Diceros bicornis minor: one gene and its partner. The protein of the gene in region 1 interacts with the protein of each later gene in a pairwise test. Links are inferred from orthologs where the notes say so. Each region holds a gene or a part of one and is shown in the gene's direction. Other genes may lie near its edges.

What was found.
Region 2: the proteins of LSMEM2 (region 1) and LSMEM1 interact in binary tests that used the Homo sapiens proteins (3 or more experiments, as listed by UniProt). The two-hybrid records come from large-scale screens. The link is inferred for Diceros bicornis minor from reciprocal best matches to the Homo sapiens genes LSMEM2 and LSMEM1.

The regions. Positions count from the first base shown.
Region 1 is NC_080741.1:51,314,483-51,325,590, forward strand, and holds the start of LSMEM2 (leucine-rich single-pass membrane protein 2), read left to right. Parts: upstream 1-6,647; 5' UTR 6,648-10,561; coding exon 10,562-10,667; intron 10,668-10,761; coding exon 10,762-10,947; intron 10,948-11,108. Other genes in the region: SEMA3B (semaphorin-3B), read left to right, coding at 1-81, 239-301, 701-820, 901-994, 1,189-1,308, 2,512-2,657, 2,749-2,860, 2,977-3,046 and 8 more.
Region 2 is NC_080742.1:64,075,541-64,086,220, forward strand, and holds the start of LSMEM1 (leucine-rich single-pass membrane protein 1), read left to right. Parts: upstream 1-6,190; 5' UTR 6,191-8,781; coding exon 8,782-8,908; intron 8,909-10,587; coding exon 10,588-10,680. Other genes in the region: IFRD1 (interferon-related developmental regulator 1), read left to right, coding at 563-652.

The DNA.
Region 1 (11,108 bases):
GAGCGTGGACGCTTGTTTGTGGGTGCCGAGAACCATGTGGCCTCCCTCAGCCTGGACAATATCAGCAAGCGGGCCAAGAAGGTGCCAGGGACCCCCCAGCCTCAGTGCTGCCCAGGGAAAGAGCCCAGGGACCCCACTCCAGACTGCCTGGAGAGACCCAGGGGGATGGGCTCCCTGAGCGGACACCCTCAGCATGGAGAACCCTGACCTTGTCCCCGCTCCCCCACCCTCCCCATAGCTGGCCTGGCCGGCCCCTGTGGAATGGAGAGAGGAGTGCAACTGGGCGGGGAAGGACATTGGTGTGAGTGTTGGCTGCCCGGGGTGGGAGCGGGGAGGTCAGCCCCTCACTCTAGACCGGGCAGTGCTAAAACAGAGGCCTGCCTGTTCTGGCTGGGATGGGGGCAGGGGCGTTGAGGTAGCTGAAGTCTGGAGGCAGTGAGTCAGGGTGGGGGCTCGTGATTCTTCTTGGGAGCCTCTGAGTCATAGGGGCAATGCAGGCCTGTGCTTCCCCATGCTCATTCTGGTGAGAGGTGGGCTGCGCTGGTCACCAAGGGCACCCAGGTCCCTGTGGCCCATGTTGGTACTTGCCTGGGCTGATACAGAAGAGAGGAAAGAATGGGGCTGCCCTGGTGAGCTGGGACCCCTTAAGGCCTCCTCCTTGGGGGAGGCTTCATTGTCCCTGCCCCTGCCTGCCCACTAGACTGAGTGCATGAACTTCGTGAAGCTGCTGCATGCCTACAACCGCACCCACCTGCTGGCCTGTGGCACAGGGGCCTTCCACCCAACCTGTGCATTTGTGGAGGTGGGTCACCGGCTGGAGGTAAGGCCAGGTCTCGGCAGAGAGGGGGGATGGGAAAGTAAGGAAGAGCCTGGCTGTAACAACTCCCCCCTGCCTCCCAGGAGCCCGTGCTCCAGCTGGACCTTCGAAGGCTAGAGGATGGCAAGGGCAAGAGTCCTTATGACCCCAGGCATCGGGCTGCCTCCGTGCTGGTGGGTGAGTCCAAAGGCTGGGACCCCAACAGAGCTCCTGGAACCCCTCAGAGACTCTAGAACCTCACAAAGTCCCAAGACCCTCCCTAGAGCCCCAGGGATCCCCCTTAGCCACATTGACTCCCCAAGATCCTCCAGGGTTCCACAGGCCCCCCCACCGAGAGCCTTCAGCTTGGCTAAGTAGCCCTTGCCCTGCAGGGGAAGAGCTGTACTCGGGGGTGGCCGCAGACCTCATGGGCCGGGACTTTACCATCTTCCGCAGCCTAGGTCAGCGTCCGAGTCTCCGAACAGAGCCACACGACTCCCGCTGGCTCAACGGTAAAAGGCTGGTGGGGCTGTTGGGAGGGGGCCCTCATCCCCAACAGGGCAGGAGCTGAGCAAGGCCCATAAAGAAGTGAGCAATGGGGGCCAGCGAGGTGGCACATCGGTTAAGTTCATGTGTTCCGCTTCAGCGGCCTGGGGTTTGCCAGTTCTGATCCTGGCCACGGACCTACTCACTGCTCATCAAGCCATGCTGAGGCAGCATCACACATAAAAGAACTAGAAGGACCCACAACTAGGATATACAACTATGTATTGGGGCTTTGGGGAGAAAAAACAAGAGGAAGATTGGCAGCAGATGTTAGCTCAGGGCCAATCTTCCTCAAAAAAAAAAAAAAAGTGAGCAATGGACACAGCCAGGTCTCACCAAGTACCTACCATGCCTCAGGTCCTGAACTAGGCACTGGGGACGCAGGGCACACAAGGCAGGTATGGCCCATGCCCTCTTTGAGTTCACAGACCTCAGAACAAATACATGACAAGATCAATTCCAATGGCCGTTAGACCAATGAGGGAGTAGAGAGGAAGGGAAAAAGAGACTAGGTGGTGGTGGTGGTGGGAGGGTTGGGGAAAGGAAGCCACCCTGCTGAGGAGAGGTGTGAGCTAATTCCCAAAGCACAGCAGGATTGAGGGAAGAGCGTTGTAGGCAGAGGGAACAACTAGTGCAAAGGCCCTGGGGCAGCAGCAAGCCAAGCCAAAAACAGTTTAATGAAGGGAGCAATGATAAGGGCCTTGGACTGTCAAGGTCCAGGGTAGTTTATTCTAAGTGTGATGGGACCCAGCAGAGTATTTGAAGCAGGAATGAATGAGGGCATCTGCTTCCTGCTAGAGAGGAAGACTCATGAGTGAAGGTATAACCCATACCCCATCTCCCTCCTTTCTTGGCTCACTGGCCTGGAGAACTGTCATGGGTGAGAGGCCTGCCACTGGTGAGGGTCCCCCTCCTGCATGCCCAAGTAGCCACTGTCTCTGCTGCCCTCTCGTGGCTGCTTCTTGACTCGCAGGCTCTGATCCTTTGGTTTCTTCCCCTGCTGAGCACCATCTGAACTTGGTCCTGGAGGCTGGGTGATCAGATGCTGCCCCGGGGGCTTCTGTAGGCACAAGAAGAAGGGGAGGCAGCTCAAGGGGTGGCAGCTTGTGGTTCTTGGAGTAGGGGGCGGGCCAGGACCTCACTGACCCCACACCTCCTGCTGCGGCCAGAGCCCAAGTTTGTCAAGGTATTTTGGATCCCGGAGAGTGAGAACCCGGATGATGACAAGATCTACTTCTTCTTCCGTGAGTTGGCAGTGGAGGCCACGCCGGCACTGGGACGCCTGTCCATTTCCCGTGTTGGCCAGATCTGCAGGGTGAGGAGTCCCTGAGCCAGTTCTGGTGACCCCGCCCCCGCCCCTTTGCCCGTCTGGGCCTCGCCCTCATCCCCTCTGATTGACCCCACAGAACGACGTGGGTGGCCAGCGCAGCCTGGTCAACAAGTGGACAACGTTCCTGAAGGCACGGCTGGTATGCTCGGTGCCTGGCGTTGAGGGTGACACGCACTTCGACCGGCTCCGTGAGTGCCAGGAGTGGAGGATGGGGTGGGGGGAGAGAGTGCAGGGGCACAGATCCTGGAGCCTGGCCGGCTTGCAGGGCTGTGCGCCCTCCCCCATCTAGACCCTGTCCCTGCAGAGGACGTGTTCCTGCTTTCTTCACGGGACCGCTGGACCCCACTGCTCTATGCTGTCTTCTCCACATCTAGGTGAGGAGCAGGAGGTAGTGGGGCAGGGTCTGCTGGGCTCCACTGAGCCCCTCACCCCGCTCATGTCTTCGCCTGCAGCGGCATCTTCCAGGGCTCCGCAGTGTGTGTGTACAGCATGAACGACGTGCGCCGGGCCTTCCTGGGACCCTTTGCACACAAGGAGGGGCCCATGCACCAATGGGTGTCCTACCAGGGCCGCGTGCCCTACCCCCGGCCTGGCATGGTGCGTAGCCTGGGGACTCCCACCACAACCCACTTAAAGCCTCAGGGGTGGAGAACTTAGCCTGGGTCTTCTTGGTGAATGTGGTTTCTTCCTTTTGTTATGGGGTGGAAAAGTGTCACCTTCCTCAGACAGGGCTCCTCAGGGGAAGGCCATATTTTCCCCCTCAGACTCCCAAGGGCAAAGTTGGGTCTCGCCTGTCAGATTCCCAGGGCAGGGCTCTATCTAATACCCTCCCCTACTCCACCCCCCAGTCCAGGTTCTGGGTGGTCTCTTGTGGAGGGCTGCCCACCAGGCCCTCATGCGCACATCCCTGTAGTGCCTCCTCTCCACCCCCAGTGCCCCAGCAAGACCTTTGGCACCTTCAGTTCCACCAAGGACTTTCCTGATGACGTCATCCAGTTTGCCCGGAACCACCCCCTCATGTACAATTCAGTCCTGCCCATGGGGGGACGCCCTCTCTTCCTACAAGTGGGTGCCGGGTATAACTTCACCCAGATCGCTGTGGACCGTGTAGCTGCTGCTGATGGACACTATGACGTCCTCTTCATTGGCACAGGTCAGGGCCCTGCCATGACCACCCACAAGACCCAGTCCAGGCTCTTTGGCCTGTTTAGTGAAAGCTCCCCCTGTTCAGTCTCATCTCACATCTTTGCCTGGGCTGTGCCCCCATCTCCTTCTGGATGCTGCTCTGATTGTTCCAATGCACATTCTTCACTGACCCAACCACGCTGAGGGTGGAGGCCTCAAAAGTGAGGAGACCCCTGGCCCTAGCTGTCAGAGCATACAACGAGTCACTTACCTCTTCTCACCCCTGCAGATGCCGGCACAGTGCTGAAGGTGATCTCGGTCCCCAAGGGCAGCTGGCCTAACGCCGAGGGTCTGCTCCTGGAGGAGCTGCATGTGTTTGAGGTGAGACCTAGTCCCCGTCCTTTGGGGTACCCTCACCCCACTGAGCCTTCATCCCAGCGCCCCTCCTCCCTCTCAGGACTCAGCCGCTGTCACCAGCATGCAAATCTCCTCCAAGAGGGTAAGTGACCAGAATGTTTGGGGATGGAATGGACCGAGCACGTTCCCGGGTGCCCTCACCCCCATGCCTCCCTTGGTAGTTCAAAGCCCTGGGTTTGAGTAGTAGGCTTTGCCTTGGCTAGACTGTGACCTGAGACTTCAGTGTTCCCATCTGTCAAGTGGGGGACGGGATTCCTGATCAATGGGAGATGGGCAGGGGGCGGCTCTCGGTCAGCCCGGAGCCCCTCGTGCCCCCTAGCACCAGCTGTACGTAGCCTCGCCGAGCGCAGTGGCCCAGATCCCGTTGTACCGCTGTGCTGCCCACGGCCGTGCCTGTGCCGAATGCTGCCTGGCGCGTGACCCCTACTGCGCCTGGGATGGGGCTGCGTGCACGCGCTTTCAGCCCAGTAGCAAGAGGTGAGCAGAGTCGGGGGCGGGCCACCGGGAGGGAGTCTTTCGCTGCTGGCTAAAAGAGGGGCTCACGGAGGCTCCAATGTTCTCCCCAGGCGGTTCCGGCGGCAAGACGTAAGGAATGGGGACCCCAGCACGCTGTGCTCTGGGGGTAAGTGCCTCAGCTGCCCCCACCTCTCAGCCCTTAAAGACGCCCCACCCTGCCCTGCCTTGCCTGAATCTGACATTCCCCTTCCCCTCAGACTCGTCCCATCCCACGCTGCTGGAGCGGAAGGTGTTTGGTGTGGAGGGCGGCAGCGCCTTCCTGGAGTGTGAGCCCCGCTCACTGCAGGCGCGTGTGGAGTGGACCTTCCAGCGCTCAAGGGAGGCAGCCAGCACCCAGGTGAGCCTCCACCTGATCCCTGTCCCAACCCAGGCCCTTGTCCCACCGCCTACATCTAGGAGAGGCCTAACTCTGACTAATGAGGGCCTTGGCCTGCTCCCCACATCTAGATGAGGTCCAGCTCCGCCCAGCGAGGCTCCGCCCAACCAGACCCCGTTGGTCCAGTTTGGTCCCTTACCTGCACTCCACACCCTGGTGAGGCCCCATTCCGTCTAACTAGGCTCCTGATCCTCCTCACGCACACACACATCCGAGAGAAGACCCCTCCTTCCTCGCCACGCCTGTTGAGGTCCCCGACCCGCCCCCCACAGTCAGGTGAACCTCACCTTGTTCAGGTTTCCACTTGAAGACCACCGGCCCCCATGCACCCAACCTTCAAATATGCACCTGTGAGCGCCCCTTTCCCGTTCCCTCTGGGCCGCCGTTGATCCGTTGCTTCTCCCATCCAACGCTGGGACACTGGTGCCAGGGAGCCCTGGGCCGGACCCTGACGCCCCGCCCTCACGCTGGCCCGGCCCACAGGTGCCGGCGGAAGAGCATGCGGAGCGCACTCCGCGAGGGCTGCTGCTGCGTGGGCTGCGGCGCGGGGATGCGGGCGTGTACCTGTGCGCAGCAGTGGAGCAGGGCTTCTCGCAGCCGCTGCGTCGCCTCGCCCTGCACGTGCTGAGTGCTGCGCAGGCCGAAAGGCTTGCCCGGACGGAGGAGGCTGCGCCCGTCGCGCCGCCGGGCCCCAAGCTCTGGTACCGGGACTTCCTGCAGCTGGTGGAGCCAGGCGGCGGTGGCGCGAGCTCCCTGCGAATGTGTCGTCCGCAGCCCGCGCCGCGCCCACCTTCTCCGGAGTTGCGGAGGAAGGGCCGCAACCGGCGGACACATGCCCCAGAGCCCCGGTCTGAGCGGGGGGCCGCGCAGCGCAGCGCACTAGTGACTCGGCCATCCCCACGCCGGGGACTGGGGAGGCGACGACAGGCGGGAGAGAGGGGGCGGACAGACCCTGGGAGACGGACAGCTGGGTGCCGGACACACTGCCGTCCCCGGCCGATGGACACCGACTGACAGGCCCTGGCCGAGGGGCAGCCGCGCTGGCTTATTTATTAACAGAGGATAACCCTTGAATGTAGCCCCTGGAGGGTGGCCCAGGCCAGGCACAGGGTCCGGCTGGTGGCTGGCTGGGAGAAGGCAGAGAAGCAAGGCTCCAGAGCCACGATCTGGGCGGGGGAGGTGACCCGAGTGCTCACCCTGGGGGAAGGACCTCCTCCTTGGGCAGTGAGCAGAAAGCTGTGAACAGCCTGGGCTGTTGGGGGTGGGGGTGGGGCAGGCCGACTGTACTAATGCAATAAACACACTATCAGCTGAAGCTGGAATGGCCCCAGCAGACAACCGCTGGTCCTAGGTCTTGCTGTGTGGCCTTGGGCACCTTCCTAGCTGTCTCAGGACCTCAGTTTTTTCTGTCTAAGGATGCTGCGGTGAGGATTAAAGGTGGTTTCCATGTGACGGAGTGGATTCTGTAGGGCCTTTGGGGATACTGACATGTCCAGTATATTCTGAATAATATAGTTTCTGGGCTAAGTGCTATGAAGAAAATAAAATTGGGTGATGTGGAAAAGAATGTGAGCAGAAGGCCTCACTGAGGGGGTGACATTTGAGCTAAATGGCAAGGAGCCAGCCATGGGAATATCTGGGAACAGGGCATTCCAGGAGGGAACAGCCAGTAGCAAAGGGCCTGAGGTGGGAACAAGCTTGCTGTGTTTGAGGAATTATCAAAGAGGCCAGTGTGATACAGTGGAGTGATGGATTTGGGATGTTTTAGGAGGTAGAGCCCACTGTCTTGCTTTGTCCCATTTGGGAAGGAGGGGACACAGGGGTCCAATGGCAGAGGGTGGGCCCTAAGCTGGACCACTTCCTCCCTTCAAGGGTAAGTGGTGCCATGCATCCTCACAAGGCTTCGTGTGAGCTGTATGCCCTTGTGGAGGGAGAAGGATCAAAACTGCATTGTGCTAAATGCTTCAGACGTGGTTGTATTTCTATTCTCACATGTACTGTGCTGGGGAGGAACCACTGTTAGTCCTGTTTTACAGATGAGAAAACAGGTCAGAGAGGGGGCAATCTTTTACTCAGGGTTGTAAGCTTAGTATTGTGAGCACCAGCCTTCAACCTGGGTCTGCCCACTGACCAGCATGGATGCCTGTGTGTATGGGGGTGTCTCTGCCCCTTTTTGCAGCTCCCAGAGCCCTCATGGCACTGGGCTCCACTTGTCCATCACCCCCAATCCCTGAAGCCAGCAGGTCACACAGTGGTGGGTGCATGTCCCACATTTGCTTGGAAGAGATGACCCAGCTATGGGTGGTGTCTTTGGGAGTGGAGGGGTGGAGATGCACAGGGCTGCAGGCAAGGCTGCCTTGTGGGGCAATGCTGGAGGTGAGCCTGAGGCAGCTTGTCTGGATGAAGATGAGGCCTGTGCATATGTGGGGGTGGCAGGGTTCCCTGGGAAAGCCCCTGTGCACATGCACTAGTGAAGGTGCCATTTGCGCTCTCGCCTGGGCTGCATCACTAGGTATAGTCCAGGCTGGCCCATGTGGGTCACTCCTCCCCTTCCCGTGGCTGAGCGCTGTCTCCTCTAAATATAGCCCAGTGGGCGGAGCTCAGGCCTATTTTAGGCCCAGGCTAGGAGGTGGCCAGGCCTTCCCCAGGCTCTCAGAAGAGTCACTGCTGCCTCCACCCTGTTCTGCTACTGGACGCTATCATCAGCCCCGACTGCCCACCACCCGCTATGCCTGACGAGACCAGAGAAGGTAGGAGATGACTGTGAGGAAGGGCCGGGCCCTGGGCCTGTGACCCTGTGGACCATGAAGAAACCTGCCCCCTGTTCCACCGACCTCACTTCCTTGACTAGTCATCAGTCACCATGTCCCAGCTCAAGTAAAGTGACCTGCCCCCTGTGCACAGAGGTAGGGCCTACCATGCCTGGAACCCCTCCTCACCTCAGGCCTTGCCTGTTTCCCCTGCTAGGGACAGCAGGGAGTGACTGCGGGGAGCTACCCAGTTCGGGGAGGGTCAACTATAGGCTGTGCCCAAGTGGGTGTGGGCCAGGCAGATGCCTGGCCAGTTCCGCTCTTCCTTCAGGGAGGAAGCTGGGATTGGGGGTTGGCAATGGTTCCAGGAAGCATTTGGCCACATGGCTCAGGGACTGGGAATGGATAGGCTTCTGGCCTCCTCCAACCTGGGACTAGGTTCCCCCAACTGGCTAAAAGTTGGGGTCCCCTGGCCTGGCCAGATTGACTGCTAGTTAAGAGTTGGGTGGCTGCCCACCTAACTCCTCGCCACATGCAAGAAGTACAGCGCCTCAGAGGGGCCAGAGCAGGGGACCCAGGAAGCTTCAGGTTCGGTACTGGCCAGGATGCAGGACCAGTTGCTCCAGGGCTCCAGCTTGGCCCAGCTGGTTAACTCCCCCATGACATTTTCTTCTTTTGTTTTTTCTCCCCAAAGCCCCCAGTACATAGTTGTATGTCCTTCTAGTACTGTGTGGGATGCCTTCGGCATGGCTTGATCAGTGGTGAGTAGGTCCATGTCCAGGATCCGACCTGGTGAACTCCAGGCCGCCCAAGTGGAACACGCAAACTTAACCGCTGTGCCACCAGGCCGCCCGCCCCCCCATCATATTTTCAACATTTTACACTGGGTGGGAGGTGCCTGGCCCCGGTGGGGGGGATGTTTGCCTCCTCATGGGGTCGTAACAATGACATTTACTGTGTGTTTTCCCTGGTAACAAATAGAATCTGATTTCCACTTTCAATTTAGAAAGTGTGGGAAAAGCACAGCCAAGTGCAAAGAGGGAATTTAATATGATCCCCAACACCACCCTGACGAATGCCTGGCAGCATGTTTTTGTTGTACTTACTTTTGAGCATGTCAAGGGCCAGTTTCAAGCAAATCAGGAAGGTTGTGTTACTGCTCTGAAACTGACAGACCCAGAGAGTCCAATCGTCCTGCTTCTATCAGGAGGTGGCCCTTCTATGCCCCCACTTTATTATCTAGCTTCCAACTGGGCATCTGGAGGGCTTCAGGGGCCAAGATTTTTTAAAAAATCAAGTCAAAGAACAACCAGAAGAAAATATAATCTTGAGACAAAATAAACACTTTGATGGGTCCAAAAATAATTAAAATCACAAGAAAAGTAGACCCCAGTGACTAAATAGGCAGAGGCTGTGAATGGATAATTAGGAGGCTACACACATATTGGTCAGCGCCACCCCCCCACCGCCCCAGGCAAAGAAATCCAACCAAATTGGTCAAGAAAGGCCTTTTCTCATCTCCCAACTTAGCACATACCTGTGTGTGCACATATGTGTATCAATTTTTTTTTCAATGGAGATGCCTAGTGGTGGCAATGTTGTACCCTTTTGGGGGCTGTGGACAGCCATTCTGGAGGATGATTCGATGATAGCTTTTTATTTATTTTTTTGTGAGGAAGATTAGCCCTGAGCTAACATACGATGCCAATCCTCCTCTTTTTGCTGAGGAAGATTGGCCCTGGGCTAATATCCGTGCCCATCTTCCTCTACTTTATGTGGGACGCCGCCACAGCATGGCTTGACAAGCGGTGCATCGGTGCATGCCCAGGATCTGAACCTGCAAACCCCGGGCCGCAGAAGCGGAGCGCACACACTTAACCGCTACGCCACCAGGCTGGCACCTCAATGATAGCGTTAAAAAAAAGTCCCTGCTCTTTCATCCAGTACTTCTGCTTCTGGGAATCTGTCCTTAATAACTATTGGGAAATTGGAAAAAACCTTCATACTCAATGATGCATCTCCTTTTCTAGGGGTTATTAATTTCGGAAGGGAACTGGAAACAACCTAAATGCCCAGGCAGCCTCAAAGGGATGCCCGAAGGGAGACCTCAGAGGCAGTGAAACAGTTTGATAACAAAGGCAGGTCTCCTGTTGTGCTGTAGTGTAAACAGCAGGGGTCACAGAAGTACAGCAGGATTAAGCTGAGTATGTTGAAGCAGAGCCATAGGCCAGGAGGAAAAGGCACCAGCCAGCTAGAAGGGGGCGCTGCTGCTGGGGACAGGAGAAGGCACCAGGCACCGTGTCTGGCCTGATGGCTAACTCAGGGTCTGCAGGGAAAACTGAGAGCGGAAGAGGCAGGAATGAATTTCATGCACTGTAGGTTTAGTCCTCCAAGGCTGATAAACTCTTCTCCAGAAGTGAGCAGGCAGAGAAACGCCTGATAGTGCTTGAGGTGCATGGAAGGAAACAACGTGAGCAAGTCAAGTGCACTTCCTGCTGTTGCGGGTGGAACAGGCCTATGGGGTTCTGGGATTGTCCTGGCTCCAAATCAAGGATCATTCCTGAGTTAGTTTTAGGGGATTAGGAGCCAAATGCCCCTTTGTCCTGTCCCCATCTTCTCTGAGCCCCTGCTGCCACTGGAAGCCACCTAGAAGGGAGAGGGTGACCCGCTGGCTGAATCAGCCCCACACTGCCCGTGCAGACACCATGGCACCAACGCTGAGCTCAAGGAGCAGGGCACCGCTGGCCCCCAACCATGTGCAGGAGGTGTGCTTGCACCGTGTGGAGTCCATCAGCGACCTACACAGTGGAGGTGAGGGCGGGGGCAGGGGAGTGGGGTGGATGCACTGAATGGGGAGGAAAGCAGGCGCACCTGCCGCCCTCCTGATGCCCCATTTGCCCCACAGGTTTGCTGCGACCCTACCTGGCCGAGGAGGCGCAGCCATGGGATGAGCTGCTAAGCATCTTGCCGCCATCGCTGTGCACTCAGGCCAGCTGCAGCCCTGTGCGTTGCCGCGGGGGTTTCCTGCTGCTGCTTGTGCTGCTAGTGCTCACCTGCCTGGCGCTTGCTGTCCTGGCTGTCTACCTGAGTGGTAAGGCCAGTGCAGGAAGCCAGTGGAAACCGAGTGCAAGGAAGTGGGACCAGGAGGCCTTTCTGCACTGTTGGAGGGAACAACTGCAGAGACTGAGGCAGTGAAGGGTGGGGTGGAGGGTTTGAGGGCACCCTCTGGTGCTGGGCTGGGTGGGTGGGGGA
Region 2 (10,680 bases), on another chromosome or scaffold:
TTGGAAGAAATCCTTGCATGGAGTACAGGGCTGGATTATGACTTTTTGATATGTATTGCCAAATTACCTTCCAAAGGTATTCTATCATTTTTAATTGTTTCCAGCAATGAATCAAAGCATGTAGCTATTATGCACATATTTGACAGCATTGGGTTTTATAATTTTAAATATTTGTTAATTGGTATTAAAATGGAACCTCATATTTTTCCTCATTTTAATTGATAGCGTGGTTGGACATTTTGTTTACATTAGTTTGTGATTTATCTTCTCCTTGATCAGATTAAATGTTGATGTACTTTTTTTTACTTTCTCACTGGAATTTTTTTGGTATTTTACATATTTGATTAGTACTTTTCTTAATATAGATAGCCATTAACTAATATATATGTTAGTTTTCCCTCTTGTTCTTTGTGTCTATGTGTTTCATAAACATTTAAAATATTTCTAGGGCTGAATTAGTTCATTTCTTTCCTTTGTGATTTTTATTTATCTTTTTTTATTATTTTGCAAGAATATCTTAAGCCTTAGTGACTCACGTATATTTTCCTTTTCTTTGTTTTAGCACTTATATAATTCTGCAGCCTTCAAAGCTCGAACAAAAGCTCGAAGCAAATGTCGAGATAAGAGAGCAGATGTTGGAGAATTCTTCTAGATTTTCAACACTTGAAAACTACTTTCTAATTTCCAATTTTTTCTTTTTTTGTAATTTCTAATGTATTTAAACTCTAGAGACAGTTTTTATCTTGGGTCAACATAGATAGCTTTTGTAGCAGGGTTTATATTACTTATAATTTAATGTACAGTGTTACAAATGGTGAGTTCTGATTATGGAATATTCTCTGTAAATATCAGTAAACATGAATAAAGTATTTGTAATGTTTGGTCATTTTCTATTTATGAAGAAAGCAAAAATAGATTTCACATGATATCCTGATGAGAAAAATTATTAGCCAAGATTAAATTTCTTGTACTGTGGTTGTCAAAAATATTGATTGTTCTGGTATAGATATACAAAGTATTTAACTTAAAATCTTAGACAAATGAGTTTTGGATACAATTTTGGGAGCTAGTTCTTCTGGAAAAGCTGCTATATTTTTAATTTCAAATGGAACCTGATAATTTTAATTTTGTCACTGTGATCAACAAAGGGAATTATACCATGAGACCTTACAGTTGCACTTAAGTGCAGACCAGCTATTGGGAATCATGATGAATTAGCGTATGGATTGCTAACCTTGACCTCTGAGGGCAGTAACACTAATTTTATCTGCTGTGTAAGACCTTGTACTCTTTTATTTTGAAATAAAAATCTTTTCACATTGAAAGTGCTTCTTTTCTAATAAAGAAACATTATTTATGGTTTTGAGGTGTACAGAGTTCAAAATGACCAAGCCAGGTAGGGAGAGAGTGAGATGAGACTTACTTTGTATGTTTGGAAACATGAAAATAGACGAAAAAATGAAGCAATATATCATTGGGATTCCAGTTACTGACTTTTAAGACTGTTGCTGCTTCGATACCCCTATGAGGTGATTTTTCACTTTATGAAATGCATTTTGACAATACATTAGGATTTTATTAATGTGTACACAAATTATGTTACACAGGCAACATTTGCAATTCAAGATTCCTAGACTTATGTCTTTGACATTAGTGCAGAAAAACAGTGAAAAGAGGGGTGAGGGTTAGGGAAGCATGTACACTGTAGAGAAGTACCAAAATCACTGGGGGTATTTGTTCCAAACTAGCATACTTCCTCTCCCGCTTCCCCAACAACAACTGGAAGGTCTGATGTGCCCCCTAGTTGAAAATCACTGGCTGGCCTATGGAGCACCCCCTGGGAGTGTGAGCTCTATCCCTCAGAGTGCACTGGAAAACCAATTGGAAATCTAGAACTTGGGTTTGCATGTTGTCATTTGTATCCAAGTAGGTTAGAATCATGGGAAAGAGATTGCAGATAGTGTTTTTTCCTAGATTTTCAATTTTGTATATGTATACATATGTTTAAATAAAAATGAATTTTTATTGAAGTGATATATACACACACACACACACACACACACACATATACTTTAATAGATACTTCAAGGCTTATAAGAAAAAAAGTTAGCTCCCTGCTCCATCGTTTCCCATTTCTCAGGCCCATCCCAGAAGGCATTTCAGCCTTTAGTTTTTTGCTAGTACTTGGGTTTCTGGTTTCTAATATGCTTCTACAACTGGTTATTATTTTTAGACATCTGCCAACTTCCTATTTGCTAGGTGAAAATTTCTGCCTTTTTACTTTTCCTTTCTGCTACTCCCAATGCATCATTTTTTGCATCGTGGTGCATTTCAATTCTCAGAACATTTTATCTTGGTTTTACGTATACCACTAATGCTTTTTAGTCCTAAATAAATATATAAAACTCTTGAATCTGTTTTCCACATGGTCAAAGCCCAGCAGAACTCTTGCTTCTTGTTTCAGTCTGCGCTAATTTCTTTCTTGTCTGAGTATACAGCTGTTTCCTGAGACTTCATCGTCCTGAGATTTGTTTTCCTTTCTTGGGTTCGATTTCACATTACCTAGACCCCATGTTTTCAATGTCAGATCATTTTCTTGTTAAAGTGGAACACTTCCTTCGTAACTTCTGGGAATGGGTGAGTGGGAGGCTGATTATTTTGAGACTTTATATGTCTGAAAGATAGTTTGGCTTGGTATATAAAGTTCCAGATAGAAAATCAAATCCGGAATTTTGAAGGCATTGTTGTATTGTCTTCCAATTGTCAAGTGTTGCAATATCTGATGTGATTTTTGTTTCTGATTTCTTTGTTTTCTTTTGCTTTTAGAATCACTTTGTCTCTAGTGCTCTAAAATTGGGTGATACTGTGCTTTGGTGGGCTCTGGCAATCTGGAAAATATTTTTAAGTTCTTGACCATGCTCCCCCCCCCCATTTTCTTTGTTCTAGAACTCAAGATACTAGAGCTGCTGGATTGATCCACTGGGCTTATTTCTTTCTTGCTCATTTCTTTTTCTTTCTGAGAGGTTTATGTAACATGGTTTTCCAATCGTCTATTGCATTTTATTTTTGGCTAACATGAAATTACCTGCCTGTGTTTAGCGCCATACTTCACTGTTGCCTCCAGTTCCTGAGCCTGCCTGAATTAAGCGGGATCAGTCACATCACTCATCAGGGATAGTCCTCCGGAGGTCTGCTAAGGCAGGTACCAAATACTCCCTCCTTTTCCTATTCAATACATTTGCTGAAATCTTGTTCACCATTGCTTTCTCCTATTTTCATTCTTGTTTTGTAATTTTTACCTATTCTGCCTTTTTACTGGGGTTTTAGGAGGAAGAAGAGATAAACATGTTAATCTGCATATTAAATTTATAGATTTTTTTTTTTTTATTCATGGAATTGATGGGTATTTGCTGGACAGATTTACTGGGGATTCAATGTGTAAGAATGCTTGAGTTTTCTTGAAATTAGTAAAATGGTGTATGATAGACCAGTTCATTCCTGGATTCTTGGTTAATTTTGCTGGTTTAAAGGAGTTTGAAATGGTCCTTGCCTAATAAGTTCTTTATTTTGAGGCTCAAGCATAAATTTTGAAGCAATGAGCATCTGTGACTCAAGCCTTTGATAGCATTTACTGAATTTCCTGGGAGTTTAATCTAGATACAGTGAGATATAATATTTGAAAGAAAAAGCAAGAAATACTTGAAAATGTCCCCAGATTAAACAGTTCAGGTGAGAATACCTATTTTCTTCTTGTGACCCAAAACTCTTCAGGTACATAATAGATAAAATGAGGTAGGTTACCTTGCTGTGCTCTTAAGTGGTTCTCATAAGTCTAACTGGTCACAAGCCATTAAAAATCTCATTCCCTTCACTGGTGTAAAATATGGTGAAACATGGAATTCAGACTACAGTGTGAGGAATTGCTTAGTCTCCATTTTCCTCATCCCTGAGGGATTGGATCACAGGGTTGTAAAGTTACAGGAGAGAGAAAAACACACAGTAAATGCTCAAAATGTGGCTATTCTATTTTTCTTCAAAGGTTAGATGGTTTAAGATAGATCAGGTAGTTGGGAGATTATTTTTTAAACTGAGCATGATAATTAATAGCTAACAAACATTTTCATTTTTCAAGAAATTTGGCATAGCTTTTTAACGTATAATCTGCGTCTGAGAAAACAGTTATTAATTATCTTGTCCTACTTCATGAATTGCTCCTCGGGTGTAGATGAAGCTTAAGAAAATGATGTTCCTTTTTCCCAAAAGTAGAGTGAGGTCTATAATGGATACTATAGATGTGAGGGAAATTTTATGGAGCAAATATTTTCTACTTGACATGCAATGTGTTTCAAGGATGAATAATGTCCATCTAGTCATGGCCATGGAAGGTAGGATTATAAGGGATTATATATCAGTTTATCACCTAACCCTTAGTGTCCTGCTGGGATAGTTCGTCCCTGGGGTCTAGGATCTGGGTTTATGGGATTGCAGGTCTCCTCCTCACTGTAGCTTCTTTTATGTACACCAGAGGGCAGAAGCTCCTTGGCATGTGTGTGAGGGAACCACATAAGAGAAAGGCTGACATTCCTGAGAAAACAAGATGCATAAAAAGTCACAGAATAAAGCCTTGGAAAAGGAAAGGACGTTGATGAGACAAAGTGCTTCCATCACCTGCAGTGGGTCTGTAGCCAGACGATCTCCCACTCACAATCTTTTTTTGTAGCTACTGGAAGCCCTAGGAGTCCTCTGACCTGCATCATCCTCATTATAATGTCACAACCTTATCCTGTCCCTCTTTATTGTAGTCCTCTGGTTGGTCTGGTAGTCCTGTGCAAGTTAGTTGTCAGAGTGGCAGCTCCATCCTGCTACCAGATATTTATATATGGAGCATACCGTGGCAGAAGTGCTGGAAGTGTGTCAGCTTACACGGTTGTGTCGGCCAAATAGGGACATTAACTTCAGCCCCATAAGAACCTCATCAGTTACCAATTTCATCAAGGAATGGTGGTTTTTTTCTTTTTAAAGCATAGTATCAGTAATATATTTACTAAAAACCTTAGACATTGTGAAGAAAGTCAGTATTTGGAATCTTACACTGCTTGGTTAAATTAACACTAAATATAGACCAACGGTTTCATGCTGGGGTTTATGGGCCTTCTAGGAGCACCCGTGTGCTGAAGGAAGGCAAAGAAGGAAATACAGAATTTGTAGAAAATTTTGTTGTAGTTGCTTCCGAATAATTAGTTGTTTTTGTTTTTCTGGTAACCTAGCAGTGAAAGCTCACATTTTTGTAAGTAATTTGCATGCTATTCCTCTACTGAGACTGAATTACGATTCTTGAGGCTGATATGTTTTTTGTTGCGTGTGTTCTGTGCTTTTAACTTTTGATAGAAATGATTTAGAGTTGATTTTAAAAATTACTTCCTGAATCTGAAGAGGCACTGACTCTGAAATAAGATTAAAGAACAAATTACCACGACTCACTCAATAAAGTTTCCTATTAGCTTTGAATTAAGCCCTATTATAACAATTCTGATTTTGTGGCAAGCAATACTCGTGTGAGTTGTTTCTGTGGTTTGATACTGAGCACCTACGAGAAAAAATAAAGAGCGAAGCAATTTTTCATAGGCAACTATATTTGTCAGAATATTTATTTGTAGGTAGTCAAAGAATTCTTACAAGACAAAAAGAATCAGCGGTTAGCATTGATCTAAACGGGAGGAAAATGAAATTACTTACATGTTTCAGCACAAGGTATTAGAAAGGGTTCCATTAAAAGAATGCTGCATTGGTCAATCTTACTTAATGAGCAAATTTGCACACCAGAGTCGGGAAGGAGGGTCGAGTTAGAGCAATGCAGAATTTAGTAACACTGGCTTTTCCAGCCCCGTTGGTTGTTCCCAGATGCCCTCATATGGAGATACCAAAGATAGCAACAACTGGGTGTCAAACAGCTGTGGGTCCTGGTTTTAGGGCCATGTGATCTTGTATCCATTTACTTGCAGAGTCATTTGCAAGCTCTTGGTGGCCATGAACCACACCTAACTCAGTTTTCTCTACTAGTTCTTTTTTTTACCATTTGCATGTTGCACATAATTTTAAAACACATTGAAATAGCATCTATTTACGTTGTGACTTTACCCTAAAGAAGAAATTTTTTTTCAGAGCACTTCATAGTTCACTCTAAGTTGTTGTCTTAGTGCTTTTGGATTTGATGTTGCATTGAGTCACCTTTTGAGTTGGTAGCAAGGCCAATAATTTGGAGATTTTATTAGCTGCACTGCTCTTAAGTCAGTTTTTGTGGCTATGATTTTCTAGCTAGTCCTCCACTTTGTAAACGTTCTTTAAGCCTCAGTATGAGATTTAAGCAATAGTAATTACATTCCTAAAGGGGAAGCTAAGGCTCAAAGATATTAAGTCAGAGATCTAAAAATGAACCATGCATCAGTCACCCAGACTAAAATAGAAGCTGTGTTTGGAACGAGGATCCTACGATGTGACACATACAACCTTTATTCCTCATCAAATATTAGTATTTGGGATAATAAAGTATAAAAAATGATAAAATATAAAAAATTTCGAGAAAAATAGTTTAGGAATCTGTGACCATGCATTAGTCAACACTTTTGGTTTTATCTATACAATGATGAGATTTGATTGATCTCTAAGGCCTCTCTACTCCATGGGCTGTTACTTTTTTTTTTTTTTTGCCACTTAAAGTCGTTCACTTATGAATGCTCCATGAAGTAAATTTGGAGTTCAATAACATCAATATATAAAGTGCTTCAGTAGTACCTTACCTAAAATACTGATGGAATTATGTGTTCTTGTTCATTAAAATTTCAGGATAACTGAAACACCATTTTTAGTTTTTAATCTTGATTGAAAAAAAATTTAATTAGTCCATGACTTTTTGAGCTCACTGTTTTTCTTAGCTAGGGTTCTGGGAGCACATTTTTTACAAGTACTAATAGGTTTTAGGTATTACTGGGAAATTGCTGGCTTTTAATATTTTAGAGTGCAGTTTAAGTTATTTAGTAAATGGCTGATGCTTTTTTTCAGATCTTTTATAGGTGTTCATATCCTTTTTTTCTGAATTTGATTTCTCCTAACTCTAATTATATTTCTCTTTATTCTGTGGCTGGATATTAGAGGAAATTTTTAAAATGTTAACAGGAAGTAAACACTGTGTTGCCACATATAGGCAGGCATGAAGTTTATTGCCTTGACTTTACTAAAAGTCTGGAAAGATGTCACGTGAGGACTTTTACCCTCAGTTTTATTTCTGTTAGTGTCCTTATTATTAACTGCCTCAAATTCTTTTGAAAATAGTGAGATTTAAACCCCAAATAAAATATTTTAAGTGCTCCAACTTAACATAAGTCACTGGCTTCTAAAGTTGGCCCTGGGCATTTGAAGAATAGGATTGGTGCTGACCCTAAGGAGTTTTCAGTTAATTGGGGAAGTCAAAGATGTAAGCAAATAAATGAGATAAAATATTATAGGTGTTCTGATAGAAGAATGGCACAACCAGCAAGGGCACAAAGGAAAGACAGGTTGATTCTTAGAGGAGGTGAGGTTTGAGCTGAGTCCTGAGAGAGGATTAGGGAGGGATGTAGAGAAGGAGTGTAGTAGCACAAGGGAAGGTGCAGTGAACTCTGAAGCAAGAGGCCACTTCCAGCTCTGCAGCTAGGGAAATGTCTTTACCCTCTGAGCTTCCATTTCCTCATTTGTGGAAAGGATGGGGGCTAAAGGAGAGCACGTCTAAAATCCTTTGCAGATCAAAAAAATCCTATATCACTATTAGACTCATTTTATGAAAAGAGATAATGATAAAAGAGAAAGCTTTTATAGTCATTGTATTTTGTCTTCCTAGAGCCTTCTTTTCGTGCAATTAAAAGGCCACAGATTCTCGGTTGTGCTCTGGAGAGATCTTAAAATAGCAGGCTTTTCAGTGTTGCTTGAAGTTGTGCTGTCATTAGAATATTACCTTAAATGTAAACCTCAATTTTAAAATTACTTATTACGTAAGTGACCTCAATCTGAGGAAACTCAGGGGAAGAGACCTCAGAAGTCCTGGCCTGTAGCCTCTGACTGCTGCAGGATTCCTCTTTACAACATCTAAGCTTGCTAAGATTTGGTCTTGAAGATTCACAGCCAGCATCTAATGGTTAAAGGATACATTTTAAGGTGGAGCCTCACATACCATATTGAGGGAGAATATAAAAATTACAGCTTTGTATTAAAGCCTCATGCAATTAGAATGGGTCACAGTAATGTTCCCTTCTCTCAGAATCTCTATGGCCACAGGCCAACTAGCTTAATTTTATCTTTCTATATGTTTATATATAGTCTCCTTGCACAAGGGATTTGAGGCGTTGCCCCAGAATATGAACAATGTAGTAAGAGAGAAAAATTTTTAAATCAATTACGAAATGAAAAGCAGGCCCAGAGAAAATGTAGACAGAATTGAGAAATCTGAAGAGGAGGTAAGAGCATAAGCAGATAAGTAGTGTATAAAGCACGGTACAGTTCTTAACATTGGGCCACACGCTGGACTCTGAGCTTCCTGGCAAGCAAAGCAAAAAGAATAGTTACAAAGTTATCCCCAGAAGGAAATATTTTCTTCCGGACAAGCAAAGCTTTTCTAGACCTTCAGTTGGAAATAGTATTTGTGGGTGGTTCTTTCCATGCCTGTCCAGTCTCCTGCAGGCTGTGATTCTTGCGGAGCTGAGTTCCCCAGACCAGCCTCTTACTTAACGTCAGTGTTTCCTTTCAGGGACAATGAATCATTCTTCCCAGGACACTGGCTCTCGCGGCATTTATGAAGATAGAAAGCTTTATGTTGTGGATTCCATAAACGACCTAAACAAACTAAACCTCTATCCTGCCGGCTCGCAGCATCTGTTCCGTATGTGTGCCCTCCAAGGCTTGGTGGCCTTTCCTGGCTTCTAGGCCACCTAAAAATAGCAAATGCTAATCTGGACCTGGGGGCGTGGGGGGGGGGGTGCGGGGTGGGCACTAGGAACAGCCTGGCAATGAAAATGCTATTTATTATTAGGCAATTTTTGCTTTTGTTCCTTGAATACTTGATGACTTATGGGATCTCTTGGCTCCAAAGCAAGAATTGAACGCTTGTCTTCAAAAGTTCTGAGAATTCCCTGTGGAGTTTCTCTCCCTGGAAAGGGGAGGAGGCTGCAGAGCTGGTCTCCCAGAGGCTTGCTTATCTCTCTCCGCTGCTGTCGTGCCTTCTAGTGACCACAGCCAGGTCACGGATGGTGCCTGCTTTCCTAGAGGGATCTTACTTCATTGTGGATTGCTGAGAAAATGCTCCAAACATTCCTCCAGTTTTAAAAAATATCATTAAAATTTTGTTGGACAAAAAGTCAACTTCATTTTCTACTTACAAATTATGAATTGTCCCAATTAAAGGCCTAGAAAAGGGTGAATGAAGCAATAAAAATCTGCTAAGTACTAAATGTGTATCTTGTCCCCTAAATATTGTAAAGGAGTTCTATTAGAGCATTCTGAGCCCCATTTTTCTAGCTTAAACGCTGACATTCAAACACAGGTGTTAATTGTCCACTTGCCATTTGTTTCATATGCATTCTAAACTCTTATTGTCCCAATTTTATATCTATTATTCCCCTTCTAAATTCTTTCTGAGTTCCTGCTTTTTCTTCATCAGAATGTGTTCAGATTTCCACCTGTTTTTATTGCAGTCAGTCTCAATAAAAGTAGATGTTTGGGTGCCAGCAGATGCTGTTGCTTTGACTAGGAAGCAAAAGCCGTTGAGAGGTTGACACAGGATGTACTTAAAAGCACGGGACATGAGCCACTCATCTATCTGTAATCAAGTAGCAGTGTGTGGAACTGAGGCGAAGTAGGAGAGAATATAGAAAGCAACCAAGGGTCTCCATTCCCCAAGTTTCTGTATGTCTTATTCAATTCAATTTGGGTGTTATTAGGCAAATAGGCCTTACAAAATGATAACCCAATGAAGACAATTTATGGTGAAGTGGGTAAACAAAGCTGTTTTATAAGTGTGGCTGCATTCTCAGTTCAACAGCAAGACATTTAAAAGAACCTTGCTTCCAGAACATGTCCATGCTGAAAACAGCTTTAAGAAACACATCAGGGCCATTTTTTGTTTAAATGGGTGTAGGCATAACTGATTATTCCTACGGTAAAGGACTTTCCTGGGAGATATCCCAGAGCGTTCAGCTTTCCATGCAGGGGAGGTGTCCCACGGCCAGCTGTGCTTTACTCCTGGGTCACTTTGGGAAAAGGGCAATAAATCCTCCATCACTCTTAACCCCCAACTTCTTTACCCAATCCCCCTCCCCCACCCCCCAAACAGGGGTAAGGAGATAGCTTGACTCTGCTTGTTCTTTGAATACCGGTGTAGAAGAAGGTAAAAAATTCACAAAGAGTATCCCGCCCAGAGGTTCCTAAAACATGTCACTTTCTAGAGTGATTGGAGAGAAAATGGTCGTATCCCTTACTCAAATCTCTACTAATGGGGGACTGCTCAGTTCTGCTGGTGAGCTGTATGCTGATGAGTTTTTGTCGTTGTTTGCTTCCTATTAGCTCTAGAGGAGAAAATCCCAGACGTTGGCACTAACTCAGGAAATGGAAGCCACAGTCTGTTTTTTGTGGGGCTGATAATCGTGCTGATCATTA